2 linked regions of the Macaca fascicularis genome follow. The protein of the gene in region 1 interacts with the protein of each later gene in a pairwise test. Links are inferred from orthologs where the notes say so. Each region holds a gene or a part of one and is shown on either strand. Other genes may lie near its edges.

Region 1 (3,808 bases):
CATAAGCGTTTAAGAGGCAACAGTGAAAAATCCATTTAACTGACAACAAAAGTGATTGCAACTTACTAAGCATCCGCCCCGTGCTGAGCATCACACTAAGCAGTGTACTTTCACCTGCCCAGACACCACACAGTAGATCTTAGCTCAGTTTTGCAAAGGGGGAGACCAGGCGTGGAGAGGTTTTGCCCAAGGTCAGCCAGCCAGGTCCACCCAATCCCCAGGTTTACGCTTTTGACCATCTCACCATCCCAAGTAGATCATCCTGTTAACCATCATCCAGTCCTAGACACGCAGCGTTACTTTTGTATACAAATCAGCCCCGTGGCAAGGTAGAAAAACAAGATTTTTAAAAAAGGAAATCTATGCATGGTGTCTGGTGGGTGCTGGAAAGTGGACAAGAATAAAAGTGATATCCCTGGAGCTACACTGGATATTTCCAGAAAATCCAGTTACACAGAAGTTGTCAGACATCACTCTTGGCTTCTCTGTATAAAGTGGGAAACCCTGGAAAGAATCCCAGGCACAGTGCAAACTGAGGGAGGGTCTTCTACGTGCCTGGGTGAGCACAGGGCCAGGGTCCTTTTAGAGAGGGCTCTTGGGTGAGGTCGAACGTGGATGGTCTCCAAGTTCGTCCAGTGAACATTCTACAAGGCTCGACCCCGTATCTTTGCAGAACGGGCTCTGGGGCTGCCAATTCAGATTTGGCCATCTCTTCAAAATAAACAAAGCAGCCGAGGCCATAATTTATCTCTGGGCTGTGGAAAAGTCAGCAAAACTCAAAATCAGGCTGCCATCTGTGAAGGTGAAATGAATTATCAAGTGGCACACTAAATGGAATTAATAAATCAAGTTTGCGACTTTGCACACAGAATGAATAATGGGCCACTCTGCTAATTAATCCAGCCCAAAGCAGTCCATTTCCAGTTTAATAAGGGCTTTCACTCACCTTGCCAATCTTGACAGTTTCGGAATGTTCAAGGCCCAGAGCCAGCTGCTCCCAGGTTGGAGCCAGAGCTTTGCAGTGACCACACCACGGAGCGAAGAACTTGATAAAGTGGTCGCCTGGAGTGGAGAGCCAAGGCAGAGACGGGGGAAAGAAGAACTGTAATTTATGTCAGACCTCACTAGAGAGTTAATTGAAGAATCAGATCTTTGTCCTGCTTAGCAAATCTCAGTTCAGCATGAGCACTTTAATTGGTACAAAGGGACTCCATCAAATGTGTTTCTATTCATGAGTTCATAACAATACTCAAAACCAAATTTGTCATCTTTGATGGACAATCAGCAACAACTCATTATTTGGAAAACTGTAATAAAGGGAGAGAATGAGGCATTTCTCCCACCTCTCCCATATGCACTGCACCACTGAATAACCAGGTGATAAATGAGGGCGAGTTTCTCTTGGTTAAAAAATGAAGGGACGCTTGAATGAGTCTCGGCACTTCGCAGCCCTAAGGAATGAATGGACCCAGGCCCTGCCCGTGATGGTCGCCCACATCCCAAAGAGAGACAACTGGACACTCTGTGCCCCCACCAGCTATGAGGTCTTCCTGTGCCCCCAAAAAATATCACACTGAAACTGATTCTGTCCCCAGACCCAACTACCAATTTACAGGAAACAGAGAAATCAGGGAAACATGTAGACCACACTACGGGGACACAATTAGCAAAGTCTGGACCACGGGGAGCTCTACAGGTGAAACCACCTATGTCTTCAGCAAGAAAGAGAGATGTCTGGAGAACACGCAGGTTAAAAGAGCCTTAGAAGATATATACACACACACACACGAAACTACAGTGCTCAGGAATGCGCACTTCAGTGATGAAACCATAAAAGGAGTCGTGATATGGTTTGTCTGTGTCCCCACCCAAATCTCATCTTGAACTCCCACATATTGTGGGAGGGACCAGGTAGGAGGTAACTGAGTCACGGGGACAGGTCTTTCCCGTGCTGCTCTCGTGATGGTGAGTACGTCTCACGAGATCTGATGGTTTTAAAAATGGGAGTTTCCCTACACAAGCTCTTTTTGCCTGCCAATATCCACGTAAGATGTGACTTGCTCCTCCTTGCCTTCCACCATGATTGTGAGGCTCCCCTGGCCACGTGGAACTGTGAGTTCTTCATTAAACCTCTTTCCTTTGTAAATTACCCAGTCTCGGGTGTATCTTCCTCGGCAGTTTGAAAACGGACTAATACAAGTGGTTTCCACAAATGTCAGGAAAGCGCCTTCTTGGAGAAGGGAGGGCGGGCTGAGCCCTGGATGGGACACGGGAGGCTGGCAGTTTTATTTCTTGAACCGGACAGTAGTTAGTGTGACCACTCTATAAAAATTCATTAAGCCCTACAACATTTGTTCTCTCGATCTGTATTACATTTTATCATAACAAAAAGTTTAAAAAGTAAAACATCACCCCCTTGGCTAGGGGACACACACACACACAGAAAAAACAAGCCCTCACAGCATCATTCTTTGGACACAGGAGGTGTTTAGCTGTTCTACCCTGACATCGGGCTGATACCAAACTGAAATCAGGCTGTGGTCAGGGAGAGAACGAACCAGTGGCATGTGGCCTGGCCTCTGAGCAGGACTGTGCCACGCTAAGGCTAACAGCTACTGCCTCATCAGCACAGCAACGATGCACCTGAAGAAAATGGTGCAAAACTTCCTTTAAAAGTTAACAACTTCCATTTAAAAATGTGCAAGGCTGAAACCGTGTGCAGGTGCACGGTAGATCCTGCACTGTAAGATGGAGACAGGCTCTCTGGGAACCTAATCAGAGTACTGATGGGAAGCCAGCAAGGCCAGGAAGGCACCATGGTGCCTACACGACACAGCTCTGTCGCAGTGACCCACTCAGGGAGGCGCTGGCGAGTGGCACTTGGCCACCCCTAAGGAATGAATGGACCCACGCCCTGCCTGTCATGGTCGCCCACATCCCAAAGAGAGACAACTGGACACTCTGTGCCCCCACCAGCTATGAGGTCTTCCTGTGCCCCCAAAAAATATCACACTGAAACTGATTCTGTCCCCAGACCCAACTACTAATTTACAGGAAACAGAGAAATCAGGGAAACATGTAGACCACACTACGGGGACACAATTAGCAAAGTATGGACCACAGGGAGCTCTACAGGTGAAACCACCTATGTCTTCAGCAAGAAAGAGAAAGAGATGTCTGGAGAACACGCAGGTTAAAAGAGCCTTAGAAGATATATACACACACACGAAACTACAGTGCTCAGGAATGCGCACTTCAGTGATGAAACCATAAAAGGAGGCCTGTTACAGGCCTGCCAGAGCCGGTCTGTAACAGGTGATTCGGGAAACACATCCTGCTCAGAGCCCAAGCCAATTCCAGCTGCAAATGCACTCCCGTAGCAAAACAGCTGAAGTTCCACTGTCAGGGCACCGGTACAGATGCAATAACAACTTTTAACAAAATGGGAAACGGCTGAAGGCCTTATGATCAGTTACTGTGGACAGTAAGTGTGGTGGGGGAGGGCTGCTGACTCCCAGCAGGCACAAGTCACAAGGCCAGAGGCAATCCAAGCCCTTTCTCACGTTTCCAAGCCAGTCTTCTAAGGGGATTTCTCTCCATGGTAGCATTTGGTAATGGGAGTCAGCCAGGAAGCCAAATTTGCTTTCAAGTCATTCGGCGTTGGGCCAAGTTTTCTGAAACACATCTACGGGTGAATAAAGGACGCTTACATATTCACATTGGAAATTTAATGGGGATCATTCTGATATTAGGAGACCATTTTCAAAAAATGGGATGTGGTATAGAAAGATCTTTTAAGTGGAAAGAG
Region 2 (3,908 bases), on another chromosome or scaffold:
GATGGATGCCATCTCTCCTAGCCCCCGGCTCTGGTGCCACTGGTGGGCAGGTTCCCATTCTTTGGGGCTGGGAGGGACAGCTTGGCTGTTTCTGGTCAGAAATTACGGTTTTCTCTCCTGTACCATTCTGTGGCTTCAGCCATGGGGGCAGTAGCCCTTCATTAGTGTAGACTTAGTCATTCCCTGGTAGGGTGGAGGGTAAGGCATAGGGTCTGGAGCTGTTTGGGACCTTTTGGGGATGTCCTGTGCCTCCCAGGTTCCTAGATTCTGGGAGGAGAGGCTGCCACATTCTGCTGCTCCTCACAGCGAGCAAAGGCTTCATCCACTTATATTCAGTATTTTCCTGGCACTACAAAGAGTGGGAAGGCCTGGGATTTGCTGCTGCTCCCCTAGAGCAGGGCCCCTCTTTTCAGCACTTTGGACACCTGGAGACCCAGCCCTGTTATTTAATGGTAGTGGGCAAGTGTGTGTGCATACTGTCTGCCACTGCTTTCTCCCTGCCCCATGCCAGAGCCCTCTCCCTGCCAGGCCCTGCCTTAGCCCCAACTTGGGACCAAAGTGCAACATGGGATCATGGGTTGGGGTGCTCCGGTGACCCCTCTCTATAGTGCTTCCCTGGGCCAAGCTGACACCAGCCCCTGAGGGTGGGGTGGGACGGGTGGTGCTTAAAAGAGGAAGGGGACCAGTGTAGCAAATTGCTAGGGACCCCCACCCTTCCCTCTCTGGGCCTGTGCAATGGGCGTGGGGATTCCCATCATGGGGCCTGGCGCCTGTGCTAGTTCCGTAGCTGCTGTTCACGCGCTCACTCCTGACCACATGCACGTTCCCTAGATGCAGATTGCTTTGAACTTTAAAGCTGTACAATTTGGTTATGTTTGTGCTGACTTAAAAAATATTTTAATGAGAAAAAAATGGACAACCCTGGGAAGGACCTGGTTCTTTTGCTTCTCGGGGAACTGTAAGCCCCCGCGTTCTGGGAATCGCTCTCTGCTCCTCTTCTTGGAAGCTAAGCCTGTCCCCACCGCCCGAGGTCTGCGCCCGGACACTAACCCGTGGCTCCCGCCGCAGTAGTGTTTGCTTTGGACCTTGCCTGAGGGGTGCTCGGTCCGAGCCCGCTCCTTTCTGTACACCTAGCGCTGCCCGCCCCGCTTGTGTCTGAGGTCGTGTATGTCAAAAATAAAGCCGCTAGAAACGGAGGCGAGTCTGTCTTTGTGAAAATCCCGTGGTCCGGGAGCCTTCCCTGATCACCCTCCCTCGGGGCTGGGCCGCGACGCGGGCCGTGGGGGCGGGCCGCGGGGTGGGGCGGGGCCGGCGGCTGCTGGACGGCGCGAAGCAGGGAACTAGGCCTCACCCTTGGCGCCAGTTCCGCCTTTGGATCCGCCAATGGCCAGCTGACCCGCGGGTCCCGGCCCGGGTCTCCATGGCAGCCCGGCGTACTCGGGCGCTCATTGGCTACGTGTGTCGCAGCGCTGCGACCCAACGCTCCGTCGCCGGCGGCCGTGCCACGTACGCGGCAGCCGATTGGCCCGCGGTGCTCGCGTCACTGCCCGCGCCGGGTCCGCCCTGAGTTCGTGGCCAGCAGCCGTCCACCCGGCGTCGCGTTCTGGGTTGTGGCGGCCCTGGATCCGGCGTCAGGGCGACCGGGAGGACGAGGTGGAGCCAGAGTCGGTCAGACGGGTTGGTGAAGGGCGCGGGGCCGGGCACGGCGTTGGGAGTGCGCTGCAGGGACCGACTAGACGGGCTGCAGGCACCTCAGAGCCCGGGACACCCCCTCAACGTCCGCAGGCGCGATGAAGGCACTGATCTTAGTGGGGGGCTATGGGACGCGGCTACGGCCGCTGACACTGAGCACCCCGAAGCCACTGGTGGACTTCTGCAATAAGCCCATCTTGCTGCACCAAGTGGAGGCGCTAGCTGCGGTAAGACCCTGGGTCGGGATCGGAGTCGCTTTTGGATCTGGCAGGACTAGGGATGGCCAGTGACTAGGGGGTCAGGGGCTCCCGTACCTTCTGACTGAGCCCGCCCGTTGGCCTGCGTTCTGACAGGCAGGCGTGGACCACGTGATCCTGGCCGTGAGCTACATGTCGCAGGTGCTGGAGAAGGAAATGAAGGCACAGGAGCAGAGGGTGAGGCACGGACTCTTGGCCCTTATCCTCGGTCCCCACCCAACTTCCCATCCTGGTAGAACCTGACTGGGGGTCCTCTTCCTTCCAGCTGGGAATCCGAATCTCCATGTCCCATGAAGAGGAGCCTTTGGGGACAGGTCAGTAGAGAAAGGTCCCTTGGGGAGGGTTTAAGGCCAGGAAAAGGGTAAGACCCAGCCTGCATTGGGCCTGTTGAGCCTGAATCCAGGGACTCAGACCTCCAGCAAGGTTGTGACCTGTCCCTTTCCCCCAGCTGGGCCCCTGGCGCTGGCCCGTGACCTGCTCTCTGAGACTGCAGACCCTTTCTTCGTCCTCAACAGTGATGTGATCTGCGATTTCCCCTTCCAAGCCATGGTGCAGTTCCACCGGCACCATGGCCAGGAGGGCTCCATCCTGGTAAGGCGCCAGGTCTTGTTTCTCTTGACACTTCCACCCTCCACGCCCAGCCTCCCCTGCCCCCTAGCCTTCATCTGCCTTCGGATGTTATGGGTACAGAGCTGTGCAGTATGTATCTTTAAGCACTTGGGGCAGAGTCTCTGAGATCTGGAACGGCATGTATATCAAGGCTCAGGAACACTGGACTAGGTCCGAGGTCCCCTTCCTTGCATTCAGGTAACCAAGGTGGAGGAACCCTCCAAGTACGGTGTGGTGGTGTGTGAGGCTGACACAGGCCGAATTCACCGGTTTGTGGAGAAGCCGCAGGTGTTTGTGTCCAATAAGATCAACGCAGGCATGTACATCCTGAGCCCTGCGGTGCTGCGGCGCATCCAGGTGTGTAGTAGGAGACAGCTGTCGGTGGGCTGTGGTGGGGCAGGCCATCACCGCCATGACCCTGCTCACAAGCTGCCCACTCCCACAGCTGCAGCCTACGTCCATTGAGAAGGAGGTCTTCCCCATTATGGCCAAGGAGGGGCAGCTATATGCCATGGAGTTGCAGGGTGAGGCAGGGAGGCCACAGGGTGGGGGTGGTCTGTGGCTGGGCTGAGGGCCCTGATACATCCCTCCCTACAGGCTTCTGGATGGACATTGGGCAGCCCAAGGACTTCCTCACTGGCATGTGCCTCTTCCTGCAGTCACTGAGGCAGAAGCACCCTGAGCGGTTGTACTCAGGCCCTGGCATTGTGGGCAACGTGCTGGTGGTGAGGCCCTTGCCCAGCCCATCATTAACCCCCTCAGTCTTGGGAGACAAGTGGCCCACTTGTATTTTTCCCACCACTCTCAGGACCCAAGTGCCCGCATTGGCCAGAACTGCAGCATTGGCCCCAATGTGAGCCTGGGACCTGGCGTGGTGGTCGAAGATGGTGTGTGTATCCGGCGGTGCACGGTGCTGCGGGATGCCCGGATCCGCTCCCATTCATGGCTTGAGTCCTGCATTGTGGGCTGGCGCTGCCGTGTGGGCCAGTGGGTAAGCCTGTGGGCTGGGCCAGGTGGGGAGAGGGGCGGGGAGTGTGCCTGTCTCCCTGACAAGGCCTATCCTCTCCTGGAGGTTCGCATGGAGAACGTGACAGTGCTGGGTGAGGACGTCATAGTTAACGATGAGCTCTACCTCAACGGAGCCAGCGTGCTGCCCCACAAGTCTATTGGCGAGTCAGTGCCAGAGCCTCGTATCATCATGTAAGGGGATGCAGTGGGGCTGGCCAAGCCCCGGTTTTCCCATCAGCAAGGGGAGAGTGCTGGCCTGACACATCAGAAGACCCTGGACTTGTTATCTGTCTGGGGGGCACTGGGTGAAGCTGAAGCTGTTGGACACCTGCCTTCTCATGT

Evidence for each region.
Region 2: the proteins of TXNDC5 (region 1) and GMPPB interact in a two-hybrid assay, tested with the Homo sapiens proteins (2 studies listed by BioGRID and IntAct). The two-hybrid records come from large-scale screens. The link is inferred for Macaca fascicularis from reciprocal best matches to the Homo sapiens genes TXNDC5 and GMPPB.

What each region holds. Positions count from the first base shown.
Region 1 is NC_088378.1:165,099,127-165,102,934, reverse strand, and holds part of TXNDC5 (thioredoxin domain-containing protein 5), read right to left. Parts: intron 1,063-3,808; coding exon 947-1,062; intron 1-946. UniProt on the Homo sapiens protein: Protein disulfide isomerase of the endoplasmic reticulum lumen involved in the formation of disulfide bonds in proteins. Can reduce insulin disulfide bonds.
Region 2 is NC_088376.1:112,742,490-112,746,397, reverse strand, and holds the start of GMPPB (mannose-1-phosphate guanylyltransferase catalytic subunit beta), read left to right. Parts: upstream 1-1,565; 5' UTR 1,566-1,790; coding exon 1,791-1,919; intron 1,920-2,045; coding exon 2,046-2,126; intron 2,127-2,214; coding exon 2,215-2,263; intron 2,264-2,397; coding exon 2,398-2,540; intron 2,541-2,756; coding exon 2,757-2,915; intron 2,916-3,003; coding exon 3,004-3,082; intron 3,083-3,155; coding exon 3,156-3,283; intron 3,284-3,366; coding exon 3,367-3,762; 3' UTR 3,763-3,908. UniProt on the Homo sapiens protein: Catalytic subunit of the GMPPA-GMPPB mannose-1-phosphate guanylyltransferase complex. Catalyzes the formation of GDP-mannose, an essential precursor of glycan moieties of glycoproteins and glycolipids. Can catalyze the reverse reaction in vitro.